Arabidopsis thaliana: one gene and its partners. The protein of the gene in region 3 interacts with the protein of the main gene of each other region in a pairwise test. Each region holds a gene or a part of one and is shown on either strand. Other genes may lie near its edges.

What was found. The genes of interacting proteins can lie anywhere in the genome.
Region 1: the proteins of SAP18 (region 3) and AT2G41710 interact in binary tests that used the Arabidopsis thaliana proteins (3 or more experiments, as listed by UniProt).
Region 2: the proteins of SAP18 (region 3) and AT1G19330 interact in a two-hybrid assay, tested with the Arabidopsis thaliana proteins (one study listed by BioGRID).

What each region holds. Positions count from the first base shown.
Region 1 is NC_003071.7:17,397,990-17,406,343, forward strand, and holds AT2G41710 (Integrase-type DNA-binding superfamily protein), read right to left. Parts: upstream 5,062-8,354; 5' UTR 4,915-5,061; coding exon 4,688-4,914; exon of another isoform or gene 4,628-4,687; coding exon of another isoform or gene 4,554-4,627; exon of another isoform or gene 4,466-4,553; coding exon of another isoform or gene 4,435-4,465; exon of another isoform or gene 4,375-4,434; intron 4,348-4,374; coding exon 4,265-4,347; intron 4,119-4,264; coding exon 4,110-4,118; intron 4,021-4,109; coding exon 3,932-4,020; intron 3,752-3,931; coding exon 3,678-3,751; intron 3,613-3,677; coding exon of another isoform or gene 3,598-3,612; coding exon 3,547-3,597; exon of another isoform or gene 3,201-3,546; coding exon 3,139-3,200; intron 3,056-3,138; coding exon 2,271-3,055; downstream 1-2,270. Other genes in the region: AT2G41705 (camphor resistance CrcB family protein), read left to right, coding at 94-471, 567-650, 746-844, 927-1,119, 1,207-1,619, 1,703-1,921; EMB2654 (Tetratricopeptide repeat (TPR)-like superfamily protein), read right to left, coding at 5,755-5,819, 5,916-6,036, 6,144-6,248, 6,365-6,497, 6,594-6,798, 6,888-6,993, 7,094-8,203, 8,338-8,354.
Region 2 is NC_003070.9:6,678,293-6,686,877, forward strand, and holds AT1G19330 (histone deacetylase complex subunit), read right to left. Parts: upstream 5,242-8,585; 5' UTR 4,999-5,241; coding exon 4,786-4,998; intron 3,518-4,785; coding exon 3,391-3,517; intron 3,224-3,390; coding exon 3,069-3,223; intron 2,980-3,068; coding exon 2,914-2,979; intron 2,817-2,913; coding exon 2,748-2,816; intron 2,649-2,747; coding exon 2,532-2,648; 3' UTR 2,271-2,531; downstream 1-2,270. Other genes in the region: AT1G19320 (Pathogenesis-related thaumatin superfamily protein), read left to right, coding at 1,035-1,089, 1,198-1,886; AT1G19340 (Methyltransferase MT-A70 family protein), read left to right, coding at 6,506-7,001, 7,080-7,210, 7,326-7,359, 7,518-7,593, 7,682-7,859, 7,953-8,042, 8,128-8,227, 8,367-8,506.
Region 3 is NC_003071.7:18,797,147-18,804,618, reverse strand, and holds SAP18 (SIN3 associated polypeptide P18), read left to right. Parts: upstream 1-3,235; 5' UTR 3,236-3,295; coding exon 3,296-3,406; intron 3,407-3,520; coding exon 3,521-3,553; intron 3,554-3,665; coding exon 3,666-3,776; intron 3,777-4,018; coding exon 4,019-4,114; intron 4,115-4,511; coding exon 4,512-4,586; intron 4,587-4,705; coding exon 4,706-4,738; 3' UTR 4,739-5,091; downstream 5,092-7,472. Other genes in the region: AGL6 (AGAMOUS-like 6), read right to left, coding at 1-166. UniProt on the Arabidopsis thaliana protein: Links the histone deacetylase complex to transcriptional repressors bound to chromatin. Involved in the tethering of the SIN3 complex to core histone proteins.

The DNA of each region.
Region 1 (8,354 bases), 1.4 Mb from region 3:
CTTCATGTCTTCTTTCTTGTGTGTGTGGCTGTGGCTTAAAATATGTGCAGGTGGAGCATCATTTAAGAATCTTATGCTTTGGCTACAACGCCTATGGATACGGGTCAAAGCAGCATAGAACCTTATCAAGCCAAGTCTTTTAGTCGGGAGAGCAGTGTAGCCTCTTCTTTAAGCTTATCACGTAGTTTGCCTCACCTAATTGACAATGACGTCGATAGTGAGAGTGTCTCAGAGGCAGGGGATATTGGGGACCGCTCACTTCGGAGAAGGCATAGTGCTGGTAGAAGCAGCCGTTTGTCTGCTGATGATTTTATAGAACAAGGGACTCATGATACTTCTCGTCAAGAACAAGATATATTACATGACCTTCGAGCTTTCAACACTGCTTCCGTAAATAAAACTTTGCCTGAGGACATAACAGCATCTCCTTTACCGACCAAGTCACTCTTGTCACCTGAAATAAACAACTCCGTAGAGACTACCTCTAACTTTGCATAGTCACATCATTGTTAGTATTGGTTTCTTTGTCCAATGTTTTGATCTATTGTAGCTCGTGGGTTGCACAGGGAAAGGAGGAAGAGCGAGTGTTACCAAAGTCCTTGGAGTACATATCATGCCTAATTCATTTGGCTGTTTTTGGGATTTTTGGGGTAAAATGCTTATTTTCCATTTTCTGTCTGTCTCTCTGTTGTGCTTTGTTTTTGTTTAAATCATTATAATCAACTCGTTGACTCCAAATATACAGGCCATTACGAGATATTTGCTGCAAAAATTGTTTGGGCCAACTGGTGCTCGAGTAACAAGTGATGGGAGCATCTTGTACCTTGATCTTCCCTCCAACATGGTGAAAGTCGCAATGCACTCATCTCAAACTTAATTACAAACCTATCTTTCTTAATAAAAATTCTCCAAATGCTTCCTTATAGGTAGGATCATTCTTGATGGGTTGGTTTGGCGTTGTATTCAAAGCAGATATAGCAAGAGTTTCTGAATTTGTGGCGATAGGATTATCGACTGGTTATTTGGGGAGTCTGACAACATTCAGCGGTTGGAACCAGAAAATGCTGGATCTTAGTGCTGATGGTCAATGGGTGTATGCTGTGCTTGGCTTTTTATTAGGTAAAAACAAAAAATTCCCTTCTCAATCTCCAATCACCTACTAAATTGGATGAAACATACTTGCTTACAGCATAAACGACTTTACAGGATTGTTTCTCACGTCATACTCCATAATTCTGGGAGTGGAAACGGCCAAAGGGTTTAAATGGCTTCTTCATAGAAGAGCTTCTTCTGAGGATAAATTCCATTGTCTTAAGGTTAACACCTTCCAGAGCCATATTGTGTCTCTGACCCTGATGCTTCTGTTGCTTGTGGCTTTACTCACTGCCAGTTCCATACTGCTTGTGAAAGAGTTTGACAAAGGAACAAGCGAGGCTCAGCTATGGTTTGGTTGCTTAGTTGCAGCCCCTGGTGTCTGGCTCAGATGGTTCTTAGCCCGACTCAATGGACGTGGGCTGGGAAAGGATAGTCAAAATTTGAGATGGGTCCCATTTGGCACCCTCATTGCAAATGTAGTTGCAGCTTGCGTTATGGCAGCATTGGCTACCTTGAAGAAATCGGTATAAACTTCCTCACCTCCTCTCTCTACCAAACAGATCAAATCACAAAAGATAACATTCATTGTATATATTTTGGGAAACAGGTGAACACGAGAACATGTAACACGGTTGCTTCGAGCATACAGTTTGGTCTGTTGGGATGTCTGAGCACAGTTTCGACCTTCATGGCTGAGTTCAATGCGATGAGAGAAAGTGATTACCCATGGAGAGCCTATGCGTATGCATCTTTTACCATTGTGGTTTCTTTTGCGATTGGAACTATTATATACTCAGTCCCTGTCTGGGTAATAGGATTCAGTTAGTTGTATCAAAGCTAGATAAGTCTTGTGCAGATGATGTGATAATACATAGTCGTAACATTTGGTAGAGATGAATAATTAGATCGGTCACAATCAAATTATATTATACCTTGTGCAGAAATATTAAGAGCAAACTTCTATACTATAATGATAACTTTTTTCTGTTTTACACAAAATATCATGATTCTATATTCCACACTGGAAAAAAAAAAACACAACCACTAACAAAACCTGTACATTCCTGCTTCAGACCATTGTCACACTTTTCCCAACTTTTTCTCCATAAAAGAGACAAAGAGATGTCAAGTCGACGAATTCATCTCAAAAAAGGAGAATCTGACATACATAAAGTCTAAAGGGAACGGCTCATTTCTCTTGTGGGAGGTAGCTGTACGTGGAACAGCTGGTCTCTGTCTTTGTCACCTGCAGAAGAAAGAGAGCCAAAGAAAATGACATAAGGAAGATGTGTTGTAGTAACCTCTGAAGTCTCTGGTTCTATAGATATATGACTACGAACCTCTGAAGTAAGAGAGGATCCTGAAGGAAGAAATGGTGTCCAGAGAATAGGGTCTGCAAGAGGATCCAATGTATTGTAGTTGGTGAGCAATGGAGCCGTTAAGAGAGAGGTAAGTGGGTACATGCTTTTCTGAAGAGACAAAGCAGCAGCACCGCCTAAAGCAACTCCATGACTCACAACTGGTTTCTCTATTGCCTTGCCGTTATTCTTCTCCATATTGATGATGTTACGGTTTGCATTCTCATCGTTTTCATTATTGCAGCTTTCTTGGATCTTCAACACTTTCTCCTCTAGGCTCTTGAAGGCAGGCGACTGAGACAAGATGCTTAAAGCAGAAGAGCTTGATGGTGATGATATTTCTTTTTCTTTTCTCTGAGTTCCACAAAGGACGCCAAGGTTTGGCGCCTTGTATGGTTCTGTTGCATGGGATGTGTGTTCCAGTGTTTTAAGCTCAGTACCAGCATCTTCGACGTTTGCATCCTCTGATGCTTTTGATGAAGATTCTGGTTGACGGTTCTTGTTGGCTCCCCACCACTTTATGTATCCTGTTAGATCAATCTTTCTTTCCAGACAAAAGCTACCTAGAAAGTCACCTTCTGTTCCACGATCATCACCTGCCCCTGTTAATAATGACAATGAGTTTTGAATAGTCTGATGCAAGCAAACATTTGTTTCAATTAGGTCAATATTGTTAGCAACTCACCGTAATGAATGTTACTGAAGTATTCAGGTCCAGGCATACGACTGGCTGATGCGTCCCATCGGCTGGTCGGGAAGTGCAGAATAGATGGAAAGACAGCAGAAATGCATATCAGGTATGAATGTTAATTGTGAGAAAGAAGGTTAAAAAGACAAAACTAAAGAGGGCTACAGCCAAAACAGTGAAGATAGTTTTGCCATATCCCTATTCTTAAGAGTAGCATATAGACTTTTCTATGAAATTAACTAGTAGCATATCCACCATATGTCAATTAATCAAAACCGTGATGATCCACAATGTGTCACTAAAGAATCTTCCTTATAGGCAATTACACAAAGATGATCACTCTTGATTCCATAGTTTTTCAGACAAAACAGAGAAATGAGAACTCAATTGCTGGTCCAGTTTTACCTTTGAAGTCCACGATATTTCGCTATTCCCCTAGAGAAACCGCTGCTTTTTCTGCCAAAGGGATATCTAAAGAGTATCAGCAATAAATGGTTCTTAAAAGAAAACTATAGTGCTTTTAAATACATACGCACCTACGTAAAGATGCAAGGTATTCTTCCCTTGAGAGATTTTGCATTTCTTCTAAATCCCTGGTATAATCAGTCACCTACGAGAATGAAATACGTAAATGCATGTAGCTAAAAACAGTGAAACTTGAGAAGGGTGGCTCCAAAACACTTCTAACCATCCTTACTCCACTTATGCATATATATTGACCATGAAAATTATTAAGGAAACCACACGGTTGAAGAGTAACTTAGAAAGCATACTACGGTAGCAATCTCACCGGAAAATTTATAAGTGTCCCAGGACCCCAATATTTTAAGGCAGCAAGGTCGTAAGCTCTAGCAGCAGCCTCTTCATCATCATATGCTCCTGTCAAGTAAGAGTTGGGTTCTTCAGTGAAAAATTATCCAATTTGATATACAAGAATATAATCAACACATATAAAGCTTTTAGCTTACCTAGATAAACTGGTGTGGCGAAATTCCGTCACCCATGAAAATATATAGGAAACAGAAAAGATCAGCTTTGATACTCCAAACAAGAGAAAACTTATTGCAAATGACAACAGCAATTTTATCAGATGCAGAGAGAAAAAAAAAAGAAGAAGAGGAACCTTGTTTTCCCTTCTTGTTCTGGTTTTGGTTCCAGGTACTCTTATCCCAAAGGTGAGCTTCATAACGACCTGTCCATCTATGTCTGTACTCAACACAAATACGACAAACAAAACGCATCAACATCTCCAACTGCTATGGAACAAAAACCTCATACAGATGCTAAGCACACCTACTCATTTCTTCTAGTTTGAGCCTAGACACTATAAAATCTGACATTAGGTGAAAATTAGTGTGTTTTAGAACAGTTTACAGATTCCAGATAATTTAGCTCCACACAAGATCCCTAACCAAAGTGCATATCCACCAATCCAAACATTCCATACTCTAATACAGATAACACAACTCCCAATTCACAACCAAACCTATACTCCAATCTCCTCCGCATCATAAACCGACAATCCCGATTTGAAAAGTCACAGTACCTGGTGACTCCCCGGTATATGGAACTCCTTTTCCCAGCAGTGCACGGAGGCATTTTACTAATACGCTCCTTAGCTGTACAACCTCTCTCCTTCTTCGCCTTCTTAAAACCTCTATACAACAACATCTGATCACTCGCCGCCACTGTCTCCGAGCTCTCTCCTCCTCCTCCGCCGCTACATCCTGCTTCTGTCTTAGGTCCTTGATCCGACGACGACACCGACGCCATGATCGGAACCTTCTTCCCACCAACCAAACCCTAGACGCACTATGGCTAAGCAAAACGGAGCTTCTTGATACAGTAGAAGTAAAGAGAGAGAAAAAGAGAGTGAGAGCTGAGAAAATTCAACTTTGACTCTTTCCTTTTTCACCGAATACAATGATTTTGATTTTTGAGTCTTTTCTAGTAATCTAAACAACGGCAAAATAAAATTACGGACTTAATTTACCATTACGTCCCAATTTTGTTTTTCCTTTTTCAACGAAGCGAAAGATAATAACTGCAACGGCTATGTACGGAGACGAGGGTGCTTTCGTCATTAGTAGAATAGGTTTATATGCTGACGTGTACTAATTATGTCCACGTGTACGTGATCTGTTTCTGGATTCTGACATTTTAATGTGAAGTGTTTCCCAACTCTCGCCTCGTTCCAAGGAATATTCTTCCTATGGTACACTCACGATGTTGTTGTTTTGTTTATCAAACTAAGCTTAATAATTTTCGGAATATTTTAAATTCGGATTTTCTTTCCTACCATTTGATTCTTCATATTGCTACCGTTGTAATGACTTACACATCGAATCATTCCATTTAAAAATCATAATTCAAACTTTTTGAAATGATTGGTTGAATTGAATGTCTTGTATCAGTTTATCTATTATCTGCACATACAAGCTGGATCCTATAGCAATTCAATATGTAACTCTAGCCAACAATCTACGTTTATTTTCAATACTAAAATGATTTCGTTTTCTGAATTGAATTATCATATTATCGATAGAGGAGATTACAAGTTACAAACATCATATGCATAATCACTGGGCCAAAAATACAAGCATATAGTGGAAATTACAACAATGTGCCTTCGTGTCTAAAAGTTGGAATCAGACCTTCTCCTTTGTTTCTCAGTGATTCTATGGAATAACCAACAAAAAATGAAATGTGAGACACCAAAAAGATCGAAAATCATGTGACAGAATCATTTATTTTGCATTCCTCTCTCATCTCACCCAATTTTTGGCGTATTAGAGGCTCGAACTCGATCCCTGCACTTCTTTCACCAAAGGAGATTATGTCACGATACATTTGGTTCGAGGGTTGAATACCAGCACCACTCATCCATTCTAAAACCTGCAAATCATTCACACAAAAGTCAAATTTTATTTCTCAACCGCAAAACTTGCTTGGTCATTGCTAATTGAAATTCATTTGGCAAGAGACAAACAAAAAAGTATTACCTCAATGTATTTTCTCCAGTTTCCAACAGCTAAAAGATGTTCCAACAGTATTGCATAAGTCTTGAGGTTGATTCCAACACCAGAGGCAATAATCTTATAGAACAGCTGCGTGTGTTTAGTGGTACAACATGGTTTCGTTAACATTCTTTTGTAAACAGGTTGGCAGAAAAGAAAGATAATGTGGAAGTCTAATTAGCTGATCAACTAAAAGTTCGTTGTACCTTCATCATTGCTTCAACTTTACCACTCTTCCCGAAAAGATGCAGCATCTGATTAGTTAACCCGATAGAAAGCGATGGCAGGTACGGATCCATCATTTGGATGAGGTCTATTGCTCTTTTCCATTCCTGCAAGCTGCAATGTTGAAAGAAGAAGGGTGATATATTGCTCTTTCTGTAATTCGAGCAAGTATTTTACTGTAATGTTTTAAATAGACATACAAGAACTTACGTGTTACAAGCCGAAAATATCTCAAAGAAGACCGCACCAGTGAAGGGGATTTCTTTTTCCCGCATTAAATCCATCAGGACAAAGACATTTGACGGTTGACCTCCCTTGTTGAAAGCTCTCATCAAAGCTGAACAAGCAATCGAATCTGGCTCTATTCCATTTGCCTCCATTTCCAGGAAGAGTTCACAAGCCTTTCCCCACTTTTCTGGCAACACAAAACCATTCCAAGCCAACTCAGATCCACTGAAAACATTTTGTTACCATTTTTAACAGTCTTACACTCATGGTATTTACCTGAAGCATTGTAAGCATGGAGCATTGAAGTGTATGCAATCACATCAGGTTCGCACCCAGCCATTTTCATCTGGTTGAATATGGATTCTGCTTCTGTAACTTGACCCTGGAAATTATCACAAAGAAAGTGACAGTCAAACCATATGAAAATCAGAATTCTATTGAATACACACGTCTTCTTCTGAGCTCAAACTCTAAGCACTTGCCTGTTTGCTGTAAGCACATAGAACCGAAGAGTACACCTCCTTTGTCAATGGAATACTGAGATCTTCCATCTCCTTCAAGTAACTAATTGCTTCAGGGTATTTTGACATCCTACATGAACCGCTTATAAGGATAGTGAAAGTAACAGAATCAGCTTTGACTTTCTTTTTTCTCATACTCTGATACAATGCAATGGCCTTCTCAAGTTCTGCAGCATTTATATAGCTTCCAATGGCTGAGTTATAGGCTGCCGTATTGAGATTAATGCCTCTCGACTGTGCTGCGGAAAGTACAGTATCAACATTCACCTTTTTTTTAGACCTACTACAAGCAGCCAAAAGAGTGCATACTGAAACAACATTTGGCTTAATGCCATCTTGTTCCATCTGCCGAAAGATTTCCACAGCTTCAGCTAGAAACCCATTAGACCCATAAGCATCAATCAATGCATTGTAAGTAACAACATTTGGCTTTCTCCTTTCCTTCCTCATCATGAGGAATACCTCCTTTGCCTTCCCAGGTTGACGTGATCTTCCATAAGAATTGAGCAAGCATGTATAAGAGACCACATCTGGGATAATACCATTCTGCTTGATATCTCCTAACACTGAGAGAGCAGTTCCACTCATTCCATGAACAGCATAGGCACCCATTAAGGCATTATAGGAAACAATATTAGGCTTTAGACCTTCTGCAACCATTGCTTCGAACACGGCTCTGCAGTTTTCTATCTCTCCCTTGACAGAGTATAAATGCATGATGCTCGTAAATGTCACAACATCAGGTCTGCACTCAGCTCTCTTCTCCCTCATGGAATTGAAAAGATCAAGGGCTTGGCTACTTTGACCGAGCTTTGACAGACAATATATAATGATATTGAAAGTTGTAGTATCGGGACGAACTTTAGCTCCCTTCATGAGCTCAAAATAAGATAGCGCCTTTGAATACTGACGACCACTCTTGTATGCTGACAACACAATGTTATGAGTGACCAAATCCGGTCCAACTCCGTTATCTGTCATTTTCTTGCATACTTCCAGAGCCTCTCTCCAGTTTCCACTAGAACCACAAGCATTGATCAGGTTATTGTAGGTTGAACGACTAGGAGCAATCTGCAAAACCAGAGAAGAGTCAAAAGTCAAAACCATATCAGAAGTGAAATAGATTATTCTTAATTGTTAGTTGGGCATCATGGAAACCCAAAACAAAAATGTAAACTTTACATGAGTAAAGCAAAGTTACACACAGCAGCACGTAACATGT
Region 2 (8,585 bases), on a different chromosome or scaffold from region 3:
TCTTCCTCAAAACCTCATCCGAGTAGGTGCTGGTGCAGGTGACGAGATCATCTTTATTTAGAATAATTGGTGAGGACCTAAAACGAAATAAGCGTTATCGATTGATTTTAGTTTTGTCTCTGAATCCATTTTCTCTGCTTTGATGGAGGAAGAAAAAACTAAGCAGGTACTTATCTATATTCACAATTGGGTAGTTACGTAATAAACAAGACACCAGTGATGGAACGAATTTAGTAGAGTAAGCGAGCCCGTGATAGAACGAGTCTAAATGTGATTCATCGACTCATTCGGAGTTATGGTTTGTGGGACAGTAAATATATATGCTGAGAAATCCACTAATCTTTAAGAACTTAACTATAAACTCTGTATCGGATCATTCTTTTTATTAAGGTTTGTGCTAAAGATAATCGATTCTCTTGGACGATTAGTAGAAGGGAAAAAATACGCAATGGCGCGAGAGTGTGCGATCGTATGAGAGTTGTAATCCCACACGTGCGGTCTCCCACGTTTCAAAAAATAACGGGAAAAATTATATAAATCACGTAGCATGTTAATAATTAGGACATTATATTAAATTAACGTTTTCAAAAAAGGAAATATAGTGTTATTGAAAAACACATGTATGACATTTATTTGGGAGCATTTTGCAAAGTAAATGTTGCTACCTGACACGTCATATTTGCCAATTTATACATCTCTTGTAGATTTTCTTAATTACATAAAAAGATAAACTTTCATATTTGCTAACAAAATATGAGGGGAAAAAATCAGCTTATTGAACGGAAGATCTATTTAATATTATGAAAGTTGATTTTTATGTAATTAAGAAAAATAATCACATAAATTAATAAAAGTAAAAACAATATATGATGTGTCACTTTATGGTAAGTAGTATCCAAAATAATAAGCTAAAGTTGATTTTTTTTCTTGTTCTGAAAAGAAGAGAGAAAACGCTATAAATAGAGGATCCTCACCATCAACTTCCTCCACTCATCATCATTCACAGCTTCAAATTTTCAATACTCAAATTAACAATGGCGATTTTCTCCACATCACATCTTCTCTTCATCTCCTTCATCATAGCCACATGTATACATAAACCATTTCCAACATTTTCTGATTACTACTTTGATTCAATAATTTATCTTCATAAAATATCTTCGTTTATAATTAATTAATTTTGAATTGTATTGCAAGGTACAATTTCTGTCTCCGGTACAACCTTCACCTTAACAAACCATTGCGGCTCCACAATCTGGCCTGGAATCCTCACCGCAAACGGCGCACAACTCGGCGACGGCGGATTTGCCTTAGCTTCAGGATCTTCCGTAACCTTCACCGTTTCTCCAGGTTGGTCCGGTCGATTTTGGGCTCGAACGTATTGTAACTTCGACGCCTCAGGCTCAGGTAAATGCGGTACCGGGGACTGCGGCAGCAAGTTAAAATGCGCCGGCGCAGGAGGAGCTCCACCAGCCACACTCGCCGAATTCACAATCGGCTCCTCCGGAAAGAAAAACGCCGTGCAAGATTTTTACGACGTGAGCCTCGTAGATGGTTATAACGTTCAGATGAAAATCACACCGCAAGGTGGCTCAGGGGATTGTAAAACCGCGGGATGCGTTTCGGACGTGAACGCGATTTGTCCAAAAGAGCTACAAGTTACGGGCCCATCGGGTGTTGCAGCGTGTAAGAGTGCTTGTGAGGCTTTTAACAAGCCGGAGTATTGTTGCACCGGCGCGTATAGTACACCGGCGACTTGTCCGCCCACGAATTACTCGAAGATATTTAAACAAGCTTGTCCGAGTGCGTATAGCTATGCATACGATGATGCTTCCAGTACTTTTACTTGTACTAATGCTAATTATGAGATCAGTTTCTGTTCTTAGGCAAAAATCGCCTTTATTATTCATTAATTATTATTATTTATCAATGAATAAAAAGATTGATCATTTTTAACATATTTTTATGTTTTATTTGTCTCTTTAATCTCCTTCACAAATACAAAAAGGTGACGTTTCTAAAACAAAAGATGAGATACGGCATGCATAGCCATTATTATCAACAAGGAGGAGATAATCAAAGATTATGTTTCAAAAAGAAGATGAAACTTTATATATTTGATTGTTTAAGAAAAAAGATTATTACATAAAAATATCAAAGTTTATTTGAGTAAAATGGTTTTTTTGGTAGGAGTTTCTTTTTTTTTTTTGGGTAGGACAATTTGTATTTGACTTGAGGTTAAAGGAAATGAAAGAAAAAAGTGAGAGAAGTGATACCAAACATATTTACATTCTAACAACATACCGGTCACTCCAGATCGTATCAGACAAGATAGTTTCCAATAGGGAGCTTTAGAGAGTTATTTGGTTTTTTTGATGGTACTTACATTGGCTAAACAACAGAAGCAAAGAAGAAACAACATCTACCCTTTAGCCAAACATCACTAGAAGAACTAAACTTAGCAAGCCACAAATGGTTAAACAAGTTGATGTACCGTACATACAGGATTTGTTAAGAGTCAGGGCTTTTCTTTAGCTGATGCAGTTAAGATCAGTGTTTCTGGATTCTTTGGATTGAAACTTGCAAGCCTTCTTCATTCTCTTTGCAGCTTGGACAAACCCCACAATAACCTGAAGCTCATCCATTTGCTGTATTCATTTCACAGTTATTTACACCATTTTATTGATTATCAGGACAAAATTAAGACAAATCCATAACACAGTGAAGGCTCAGAGATGTTGACGTACCTGAGACATGAAGTGCCTTTGAACAATGTCAATTAGTTGCTCCTTTGATGGATTTGGAATTGCATCCACCTACAAAGAGTTTCTTCAGAAGCAAGCACATAGAAAACAAGATTGAGAAAACGAAAGTAAGTTTCTTCTCTTCCTTTTCTTCTGGAATTCAACTTACAAGGTTAAAATGTCGCCAATAATTCAGTAAAGCAGGCATTTCCAATTTGCTAAGATCAACCTTCTGCTTGAAAGCATATGATATAGCATCAGTAAACTTACGATTTGTTGCATTATCTTCAAATGGAATAGATGTCAAAAAATTTGAATGCATACCATGTTTTCAGGAGGAGTAAAACCCGAACTTTTTGATTGCGAGTCAGATGATAGAGACCTGCTCATCGTCTTGTGAGATGACCGAGATGATCTCTGCCCTCTTAGCTTCGACTTATGAGGCTTCAGTGTGTCCTCAGATGCTGGAAAAGAAACAACTTATCATAGAAACAAGTCTGAAAAAAATCAGTTAAAAGGGTTCCCATCAAAGAACAATATATCACTTAGTAGCTCACAGGAGACTAAATCAAGTTTAGAGATCTCTATATCAAGTTTTTGACAAATTGGCAGAATCGTTACAAAAATAACAAGGAACAAAACTTACTCATATCAGAGCCATTCCTCTGTGTGTTTTCGAAATCAAGATCATCGTCTTCTTCGTTTCCAGTAGGAGGTTCAAGGACACTAAGCGCATTCCTCTGCAACTTTACTTCTATTCCATTTGTCAAAACCTACAAACCAAAAAGCACAACAATAATTCTGATTAAATACTTTTAACTCCATAAACAAGTACTGACATTGATTTTAATACTTCAACTCCTACTGTTACTTCCATAGGAATTCTGGGAGACAAGAACTGGTGGAATGTGATATCACTAATAGTAAAACATAATCGTGATACTGAAGAAATTCGTAAATTATATGGATTATTCTCTAAAGTTTAAAGCTAGAATATGGTGAAGTTACTCCTTTAGGTCCACATACACAGAGACACTATCAAAAAGATCTTGCAGAGCAGTTTATAATATAAACTAGCCAACCAAAGCATAAAGATTTTATAAAGAATAGTAATCGACAGAAGTGACACTGCTTGGGGACGAAAATGACTCAACTAATTAAGAAAGAACAAAAAAGAAGAAAAACCTCTAAAACAAATGATTAACATTAATCAAAAGACTAACAAATTTCAAAAAGCCAGCTTGGATCCTTAAGGTGGAGAACAAAAATGTCAAGAAATATGATGGAGAATTAGATAACAAGTGCATATTTGTTATGATGTTTTATTGACCAGGCGCCAAAATAAAGTTGCCTCTTTTTTGGTTTGCCTAATTAATGTTTGCAAACTCAAAAATCACTTATCCCCTATAGATGATTCCTTAAATTGAGCCTGAAACTCAGCATGAAACACCAAAATAATCAAAGATACCAAAATGTTTCAGAATCTTTATTTGATGCAAACTAATTTTTAAAGAAAAATAAAAATCACTCAAGGGTTTCATGAATAAAATAACTACCTAAGAACCATAAATACAAGGTTAAACAGTGTAAAATCCAGCAATAATGGTGACTTGAATGCTATCATGCATGCAACAAGTTCAATCGCCAGATTTCGAAAATTTTACAGATTTAACATTTGGTAAATACAAAAGTAGATTTGATTTTCGATCAAACTAACAATTCTTGGTTTAAAATTAGATGCGAGGAAACATAATTATTGACTTGATTAGTGAATCTATAACTAGTAAATCGAAGCTCATGAATGATTATATCTAATTTAAAGTTGATCATGTTGAGAAATTCAAGGGAAAAAAACCCAAATTTGAAATACAAAATCATCCCAAAACCCAAATTATGTTCATCAATTGCAAACTTGGTAAATCCAGAAAACAGAGAACAAAACACTAGATTAGATCGAAATTTAACTATAAATGGAAAACGGAACAGGAAACAACAAAGATAACATTTTTACCAAAAAAGGAAAGAAATCAAATAACTTTACCAGCCAATGCCAACCACCGAGACCGACAGCTTTTTTGACAACACCTTGAAGACCAACAAGCACCGATTTCGTCCGGTTGTTTCCGGTGACCACCACTTTTGTATGACGTGGCAATACCGATAACTCTTCTTCACTACTGCAATCGCCGTAAAAGCTCTGAATCTGCGGGAATCCTCCATTCACCACTCCTGAGCTATCTACAGCTTCCAGCATTCTTCTTCTTCTTCTCTAATCTAATCTGATTTTAGACCTGAAGAAATCAACAGACCCAGTTCGATTTTTTTCAGCTTTGAACACTGATAGAAAATCGAAGATCATGCATTGCTGAGAGAGGGAAAGATCAGATGATTGAGCGGGAAAAGTGGAGAGATATCGAAGTAAAATAATTAGGGTTTGTCCCACAAGAAGAAGCAGAGAGAGAAGAAGAGAGATGAGAGAAGAAGAAGCAGAGTAAAGAGAAGGTAGAGGAGGAGGGAAAGAGAGGATGATAGAGACAGGTTTTTCACCACGGGGACCAATTAGAAGAAGCCATGTCAGCATTGTACTGAAACTATATGCGTTATGCAAAAACAGAACCGGTTTTTTTGTTTGGATTTAACCGGAGGGGTACTTTTGGTAATTACAGAACACGCGATTGACCTGAATGGTTGACTGGTGTTTAATAAAGACAGAGATAGATGGGACCCGTTTTTATTTAAATGACGGTTATACCCTTAGTCACGTAACTTTTTTCCATAGTTTGAATTTTTTTGGATCTTCTTTGTCCTTATCTTATAATTTTCTTTCTTTCATAATTATTGCTCTCTCCATTACTAGATTTTTATTATTATTGAGAACAATGTTTTACTTTATGAAAACCAGGTTCTCAAAACAGCAAAATAAACGAAACAAGTACTGCTTAGTAAGTGAAATAAATGGATCAAATACAGTAAGATAAACATTGAACATAAACTTTAAACTCATATAATGGCTAAAAAGCAATCAAATTGGTCGATGGGATAATTGGGTATATTAGATACAGAAAATCTAAGGGATTTAATGTTGTGTCTCTTTAATGATAACACTATTAAACACACATCGATATTATCATCAAAAGAGCTCAAGAGACGCAAATACAAAAACCTTTTTTCGACCGATTATAAGAAGGTTTTATAAAGGTTTTATAAAGGTAGATGATCGATATGATCTATGAATATTTTATCTTTCTTTTTTTGTGTTACATACAATCATACATGATTTTCTTACTATATGAAAGTTACATGTTTGGATCAATTATTTGTCCAAAACTTTTATCGAGTCATTGTCATTGTCACAGTTAACAAAGCCCACCCAAAAATAAAACCGTCCCCATATTTGGGGAAACTGTCAAAGCGACCCCTCACCAAACGCCTGCTTCAATTATTCGTAACTTTTAATGCTTACCCTTACTACCATTCCCCTCCCATAAAAATCAAAATTTTCATTCTTTTGTTCTTTATTGTTTTTAAACATAAACCTACGAAATCTAGAGGCTGGAACAAAATCCATTAATTACCGGGAAATTTTCAGAGGATTTGCACTAAATTAGGGGTTACTTGTTACATTTCAAAATTAGGTGACTAATTGTGGTCAATTATGAAAATTCGAGGGGTTAATGAGAATAATCCTACACGTCTGTCTCTATCGTCGTCTTTGAGGGTTTTGTTTGAACAAAGAGACTAGAGAGTGTTGGAGCCGTTAAATGGCGAAAACTGATAAGCTAGCTCAATTCCTTGATTCTGGTATCTACGAATCCGACGAATTCAATTGGTTCTTCTTAGACACAGTTCGTATCACCAACCGTTCATATACCCGATTTAAGGTTTCACCTTCTGCTTACTACTCTCGTTTCTTCAATTCGAAGCAACTCAATCAACACTCTAGCGAGTCTAATCCGAAAAAGCGAAAACGGAAGCAGAAAAACTCTAGCTTTCACCTTCCTAGTGTAGGAGAGCAAGCTTCGAATCTTCGTCATCAGGAAGCGAGGCTGTTCTTATCGAAAGCCCATGAATCTTTTCTAAAGGAAATTGAGTTGTTGAGTTTAACGAAAGGTCTAAGTGATGATAATGATGATGATGATTCTAGTTTGTTGAACAAGTGTTGTGACGATGAAGTCTCTTTTATTGAGCTTGGAGGAGTGTGGCAAGCTCCTTTCTATGAGATAACACTGAGTTTTAATCTACATTGCGACAATGAAGGTTTTTTGGTTTCTCTATGTCACTTGCTAGATCGTATTTGAAACCCATGAATTTGATGGTGTTTTGTGGACTTGATAGGTGAGAGTTGTAATGAACAGAGAGTGTTTCAAGTGTTCAATAACCTAGTAGTGAATGAGATTGGAGAAGAAGTTGAAGCTGAGTTTTCCAACCGGAGATATATAATGCCCAGAAACAGTTGCTTCTACATGGTTTGTGTTTTTTACTTGTCTGATTTTATGATTCTATAAAAAAATGGAAACTTTTAGTTGCTGTGTGAAATGGTTCTTCTGATATTACAGTTCTTTTTACCATGTTGCCTTGAAGTCTGATTTACATCACATCCGAAACCTCGTTCCTGGTAAGTCTTGTGCTATTGTCCATTATAGATAATTTGCTAAAAGCTGAGATTTTAGAGTATTCTGGTTCTTGTTGATTGGTCCTGAGTCATGTGAGAAAAGATCAGTCATTATCATATCGGTAGGCGATGTAATAGTCTTATTGATGTCATATATGCAGCTAAATCTGAAGAAGGCTACAATCTTATAGTTATTGATCCGCCTTGGGAAAATGCAAGTGCTCATCAGAAATCAAAGTTCGTTATCTACTTAATGTATGCATGTGGATAAGTATTTTTTGTATCTGAAAGTTCATGACCAATGTTTCTTGGTTCTTTGTTTTAGGTATCCTACTTTACCGAACCAATACTTCTTATCTCTTCCGATCAAGCAGCTTGCTCATGCTGAAGGAGCTCTCGTGGCTTTGTGGGTGACAAATAGAGAGAAATTACTAAGTTTTGTTGAGAAAGAGCTATTCCCTGCGTGGGGAATTAAGTATGTAGCTACAATGTATTGGTTAAAGGTGAGCTCATCTTGCAGCTCTCAGTCCCCATCTTGGTTTCTGAGTTGCACATATGACTTGACATTTTACATACTTGCTATGTAAATGTTTCAGGTGAAACCGGATGGTACACTGATTTGCGACCTGGACCTGGTCCATCATAAACCTTATGAGTACCTTCTACTAGGCTACCATTTTACCGAAGTAAGTCAATTCATTTTTTTGTCACTTGAATAATCTGAGAAAGGAACTTCTGTTTGAACAGCCATGTTGTGTATACATGTCATAGCTTGCAGGATCAGAAAAGAGGTCAGATTTTAAACTCTTGGACAAGAACCAGATAATCATGAGCATCCCTGGTGATTTTTCGAGGAAACCCCCAATTGGAGGTATTCTTATGTTTATATTTTCAACAGCTTTGTTCTGCGATTGGCTTCATCAAATTCAAGAGTAGATAATGCAATTTTTTCAAATTCTTGGTCTAAAGCTCCCCTGATTCTTGTTTGTTTCCACTTGGACTTTGTGTAGATATACTACTGAAACACACTCCCGGGTCTCAACCTGCTCGGTGCCTTGAGCTATTTGCGAGGGAAATGGCTGCCGGATGGACCTCTTGGGGAAACGAACCGCTTCACTTTCAGGACTCGAGATACTTTTTGAAAGTTTAGTGGGCGCATTCCCTAGGGTGTAACCAAGAAAAAGGCTGGCTTGGGCCCTCATGATCGTTTTTCTCTATGACTCATTCTC
Region 3 (7,472 bases):
CGTAGAGCTTGCCACGGCTTGAGAAGATGATGAGAGCAACTTCGGCATCGCAAAGAACAGAAAGCTCATAAGCTTTCTTCAGCAAACCGTTTCTTCTTTTTGAGAAGGTCACTTGTCTATTAATCTTGTTCTCTATCCTCTTCATCTCCACTCTCCCTCTTCCCATCTTTCTCTCTCCTTCTCTTGATTCTGATTTCTTCTTCTTCTCAAGAATTGGTAACTTTTTTTCAAGAATAGATAAAAGGAATAAAGTATCGTACACGATAAATGTGTTGCTATATATATAAACTTGTATTACTTTCAATTCTTCTTGTTACAGGTTAATATGGTGCGTTATTACATAAATCCTTTTTAATTAATTATTAGTCGTCCTAAGTATGTGAAAGTGGCACCAACAAATGAGATATTTGTTGTTGAAGAAATTAAATATAAATATCGTCATATATTTGATGGAACAAAATGATAACTCTGTCTTCATCGTTATAGCTAGATTCCTAAAAATGGAAATCTACTTGTAACAGTCGGACCATTGAAAATTCCTTTTATTTTCTCTTTTTAATTATTAGGACTCTTTTCTTTTCTTTTTTGCTTTTTTTACATAGAGCGCGATGTTTCAAATTCAAACTAACTCATTTTGTTTCCAAATGTTATGGCTCATGTTCTTCTATAACTAGTTATTGTACCCTTTTCAAGCTATCCTAGCGTGTTCTTTTATTTGATGCTGCGCCAGCGGCAATAGCGGACTGAAACGACGTGTCATGAGAAGTAGTAGGTAAGTAAAACGACATTAAAGCTTGAAAATAACAATTTCGGATGAGTCGCCGATGATAGCCGATGAATTGCAATTGCATCAAATGAATCGCTGAAATTAAGCAGCGTCACGTCAATCTTCATCATCGTACATCTTTTGCGGCAGTTCTTCTCTAATCAATGTATTTTTTCTCGCCGCAGATCTGTTTTTCTTCTTTGTTGTCGCTGACGCTGCGTTCATTAAAAGAACACGCTAAATTAAATAGAAAATTTGGTTTTCTAATGCGGTGAAGGATTGATATATTATACTCGCAACCATGTATCTTGATTGAACCGTGATTCAATATGTTTGGTTAAAATGTCTACTTGATCTAAAATCGGACGAAGTAAACTACGTGCGAAATTAATGCTGATTGGTTTTACAAATTTGTGAACTTTTATTTGGTCAATGAAAAGGGGCAGAAAATTCATCATTGTTTTGAAGCTCTCGCAGAGCTGGTTAAATATAGTAAGATGTTGGGTTAGGTAAAATTGTCTTTAAAAATGTTTACCTCTGAAAATGATTGAAAAATGAGATATTTTCCTATATATATATATATATATGTATGTATTATTTACTTACAGTTTGATACATATATATGTATTCATTCATATATATATATGCAATCATTTACTTACAGTTTAATTGCTAATATCTGAATGATTATTTTTAATCAATTTTTTGATGTTTTTGTCCCTTGTTGTATCTGCATCATTTGATATGTTGACGATTCTTTCAACGTTATTCATCAAAACGGTAACTAATTAATTTTAGGTTTTAAACTTGGAAGTTAAATAGGGGACATTTCACTTTTTCTACAAATTTTTTCGACAGTTCAATGGAAAACGTCAAGTTAATTTTCGGCTAATGAGATATTGAAGCTCAATGGAGTTAATTAACAGATCATAAATGAAACACGTGTAAGGGAATCTGCTACTCTTTTGTATTGTAGGCCTTAACTTTTTTTATCGATCAGTCGGCGTGTCAGTGTCTTGTGGTCTTAAGGAAAAATATCCGAACCTCATCATCTCCACGAGTTAAATAGTATATATCCTTCTTCTTCGTACGAGGTTAAGACAACTAAAATCTTAAAAAATAAATTAAATACTTAAAATCAATGAATCGTTTCATATATATACATATATATATATATAATATTTATGTGCTTCGATTAATTAGTACATGTAACTATTTTACGAACGTTTAGTTATCGCCCATTTGCACATAAGTTTACAAACAAACATAGAATCATCACATTATATATTGTGCAAAATTCAAATACAAGATGATAAATCTTTACATCTTCAACTACAAACACGATATATGATATCAAGTTATCAACCAATCAAGAGCTGTAATCTAGTAGTTTTTTATTTTTTGTTAAAAAGTTGTAATCTAGTAGTTTCATTTTCATCTATCTTTTTACATTATAGAAAAATGAAAGTATAGAAAAATGAAAGCTTATCAAAAGTTAGTGGGCTACATCTACATTATATTAAAAAAATATATATATATATATATATATATATATATATATATATATATATCAATAACTAGATCGGACAGTGACCAAACCAATCTCGTTGTGTCCAATCCAAGAAAATAACAAAGGAAAGTCGTACGTTTGATGATATAAAAACCTTTTTATGTTTGGACGAGTTTCATAGAACATGGTGGACAAAATTATAGTACTATATACTATTTAGTATCTCCTTTTGAAAAACAGTAAGCCATGTAAATGAATTTGTACAATTAACAGCTATTTAAAAAGCAAAAAAAAAAACAGTGAATGTTTATTTACAAAGTTCCGAAGGGAAGAGGTTGTGGTAGTGGTTAGGGGCATGCCAAATACGGAAAGGGAGGCAAAGAAGATCGGGTAGTCTTCATAATTTCATACTTTTCACTTTGTAGTAATCTTTCCTTTTCTTTTTTAATTTCATCACCAATGTTTCTTTGTTCAAATTCATATCCACACACTCTTTTGGAAATGGCACTGCAGCTTCATGTGAGGTGTGGGGTCATTGCGCCTTATCGTCTGAAAATGTTACCCTCTTGACATTCAATGACCCCATTTTCTTATTTTCCATAATTTCTTTTACCATTTTACTATAACAAGAATGATGCAAAAGGAATAGGCAAAAAACAGCATATTATTTTTTAGTGGGATCCTAGTAGGTCACTTGAAGTCTCTATGCATTGATTATGGATTGCTATATTTGTCTCTCTTTTTATTTTTGAATTTCGAGTTAGTGATCTTCAATGTGTGTTTCAAATATAGATATTCAAAGGTTATAAACCAAGAAAAGAAAAAGTAGAAAAAAAATATATATATTTCAAATCTTTTAAACGGACCATTGGCAACAAAATCTATAAACGAGTTAGGCCCAAATTGTTGTACAAAAGGCCCATTAGGTTAAATAAGTATGGGCCTAAAGCGGTCCGATCAATCTCTGTGCCATTACCTTCTTCTTCGTCGTAGTGATTTCTCTCGAGAGAAAAAGAGAGATGGCTGAAGCAGCGAGAAGACAAGGTGGTGGGAGACCATTACCGCCACCTCCGAGAGGCGTTAACCAACAACCTCCTCGCCCTAAACCTGAACCTGTCGATCGTGAAAAGGTTTGTGTTCGATTTCATTATTCGCGAATCGTTGAATCATCATCCTTTAGGGTTTCCTTTTAGGGTTTTTATCTGTACTTATTGATTTCTTTATCTTTAACCTTCGAATCGCAGACATGTCCCCTTCTTCTTCGTGTTTTCACCAAGGTACTCTTCTTCACTGATTTTACTGAATGCAAGTTTAATCACTGGAGAACTGGCTATGTTTGTTTCTGAATTAGTCTGCAAATTAGGATTAATTGGGTAGGTTTGATTGCAGAGTGGTGGTCATCATACTAGTGAAGATTATGCTGTGAGAGGCAAAGAACCAAAGGATGAAGTTCAAATCTACACTTGGAAAGATGCCAGTCTTCGCGAGCTAACAGATTTGGTATGTCTTCTACCATTAAGATTTAGATTGGGTGCTTGAGACAACAATAAAGCAGCTTGCTTTGAGAACTTTTCTTGTGTAGTTTTGTTTTTACAAATATGACGGATTTTCAGCTAAAGGACTCACTTTGTTTTTACTGCTGAGGAGTGCTGATTAAAATTCACATTTTTGGGGGTTTTGTGTAACGTACAAAGGTGATGCTTCTCTCATAAGCACAATGTTAAATCACGTTTTCATTGCAGGTTAAAGAAGTTTCTGTAGCAGCTAGGAGAAGGAATGCTAGATTGTCTTTTGCGTTTGTTTATCCTAACAATAAAGGTGGCTATAATGTGAGAGAGGTAAGATTACGTTCTCTTCACAATCTTGATCAGATAAGTTGTCACCGTAGCCACGCATGATCATTGATGCATTCTAGAGTTTCTGTGTTTTCCCCTGCCACACCTCTTTGTCGCACATGTAGCTACCAGTATCATTCGGAGTTTTGTCAACAATGTTTCTCTTGTACATGTCTTTCGCTTATTGACAACTCATCTTCTCATGGTTATTGATTTTTGAAACTTCAGAGAGACCACATAATCATAGCTAGTTACTACAGAATGAAGTAATTTGATTGAATGGATGCTTTCAGATTCAATCGTTATGGCTTTACTTGTTCTCTTGTGATGTTTGCATATGTATTCAAGAACCCATGAGAAGAGTCTGATCTTGTGGTGTTGTTTCTGTTAATTGATAAAGGTTGGGGAGACGATGGCTTATCCAAACCGAAAACAACCAGATGACAGTAAAACGCTTTCCGAACTTCCGTTTGAGGTAAGTTTTTTACATGCATAGAAGATCATCTTGTATGATGATTATATAGTCTATAACATTAATTTTTCATATTCTGTTACCCAAGTAGCTATAACTGAAGTTGATCAATCTATCTGCAGATTGGAGATTATCTGGATGTGGCAATTTACTAGGAGGTTTCTGTTTCTTGTTAAGTGGGATTTGGGTGCGTGCACAATGGAAGAAGTACACATTCATATGGTTGTATCATCTTAAACTTCGTTTAGACATGTTTGTATTTTTTGGATCTAGTCTATGTACTAATGTCTAATGGTTTAGTATGTTATCCTGCTTTTTTTGTTTAACGTGTTTTCTTTTCTAAAGAACCAAAAAAAAGATGGAAGAACTCAAGCCATTTTATATACAAAAAGGTATAAATTTAGACTATCTATAGACTATAGCACATGAATATGTATTAAATTAAGATTTCAACCCAATTTACTTTTATTAGTAGAATTAATACTCGCACTTAACGTCGGAGAAGTAGCTGAGAAAAAGAAATCGTGAAAAAAATGAGAGAAGAGGATGAATTTAGACAACATTAATCATCAAAACTATAGTGATAAACATAGAAGAGTGGGCAATGCATTTCAAATATTCTCAAAAATAAAGATATAGTTATGGAATTATACAAAAGTTTAATAGCAAAATATGAACGTTGCGTTTACGATTCCCTATATTGTTCCAACGTTAAGTTTGATTAGACTTGAAAGTTGAAAGTATAATAAAATTTAAACGTTGAAACGGTAACATTTTATTACCGTTAGAAGATAATATTTTATTACAAAAATTCAGATAAATGGCTCTCTATAAATACTCCCATCTTGGGTCAGAAATCGGAATCCTCTTCATTGGTTCATATTTTACAAAATGTCGAGAAACAATCTGTTTTTATTTCTTAATTCTGGTTCTTCCACTTGAGTCAAGACCTCATTCAAACAAACATAAAGCATCATCCTTACAAGGTAAAATACTCTGGTCTAAATCCTCTAGTGTTTACCGTTAAATGGTTTTTTTTTTTTTCATTAAATGGTTCTTAGTAGTTTGTTCACCTGTTCTTCATCTTTTAGTCATCTTTTAGGGAGTTGAACATGAAATTCAATGTCTGTGTTGTAAATCCATTGTGTATGTATATGTATTGCTGGCTTAACTTCAATGATTAGGACAATAAACTGATTTTTAGCTATATTTGTTTCTTTCATAAACTGAGCATTTTAGTTAGATATATATATGTTCTGTCTAAAATGAATTTCATTTGCTGTGTTTTAAATCCATTTTTTGTGTATATGTATTGCTGGCTTAACTTCAACGACTAGGAAAATATTTTTAGCCATATTTGCTTCTATCATAAAACATTTTTAGTTATGTATCGGTTCTGTCTAAATGAAAACATAGAAAAAGGTTTTTATTTTATGAAAAAACAAAGATAGAATAGGTTGCCTATAAAATGCTTTTGATTTTTTTGTAAATAATATATGCATATACCAAAAATGATAAACGAAAAAAAAACGATTGTAATGGAATATTGATTTTCGTTAATTAATTTTGCAAGGGTTGATGAAGAAGGGAAAACAAAGCCTTTGGGACTCTATCCAGCGTGTTGCAATCAAGCTTTGCTAGCCTTTGTTGAATTTTACTAGATTGTGCATGTGGCAATCTAGTGATTTTGTATCTTTTTTCTTTCCTGATAAGATACATGGATGTGTATAAATGGGCGTATAGTGATGTGTAAGGTGCGTATAGATGAATGTATAGGCGTAGATGAATGTATAGATGCATGTATAGGCGTAGATGAATGTTTAGTGATGTGTAAGGTGTGCGCATAGATGAATGTATAGGCATAGATGTATGTATAGGCGTAGATGAATATGTAGGTGTAGATGGGCGTATTAGTAGAGTGTGTGAGCGTAGAACATTAGACAAACGAGGGACAAAAATGCGCAACGCGGGCCGTAGCCAAAGAAAAAACGCGAAGCTTAACAAAACACAAAAAAAAAACAGACGCCAAATCGCAAAGTCAAAGCGACATAGTCGAAACATGTAACAAATGGCAAAAACAAATAAAGCATAGTTGAAACTCTAACAAAGACAAGATTAATCCGTGTCGAAAGACAAAATTAATCTAAGTCGAAATTATCAAAAACACTTTAAAAATAAAAAACAACTGAAAAAGTTATTAAAGCGACTTCAAAATAACACTAAAATAATCGAAAGAGAAAATTAATAAGTCGAAATTATCAAAAACACTTTAAAAATAAAAAACAACTGAAAAAGTTATTAAAGCGACTTCAAAATAACACTAAAATAACATTAATATCCTTTAAAAACACCAACTTTCGAAATCTATTAGGTTACGGCTATAAGTCAGAATGTGCAATTGAATTACTTTCATGCAGACTTCGGCTACATTATCAAAAATCGAATAACTTTCGAGTCATGTTGAAAAATGTTTAGGATTTACGATGTGTCAATGAGAATTGGGAATTGGAAGTGTCAATGGGAATTCGAAAATTTAAACATGATCCAGAGTTCATGCAAAAATTTAAACCAGATCCAACAAAAAGTAGTAAACTGACTGATGATTTAGATTTAAATGTGACATTTTTCCCATACTCCTAACGATCGATAGCCAAAAACACAATTCCAACGTTCGCTAGTTGAAACGCCCAAAACTGAACGTCAAAATACAACTTGCTTACGTCATAATAACATTGAAGAAAAAATAAAACCAAAGGTGAAAAATAGAATGTCAGAATGTCACCTATCAAAATAACACGTTAAAATTTGCCTATGCACATAAGAAAAGCAATCGTTCGAAACACTGAAACTATGTAAATCAATCATACAACTGCCATGAAAGAGCGAAAA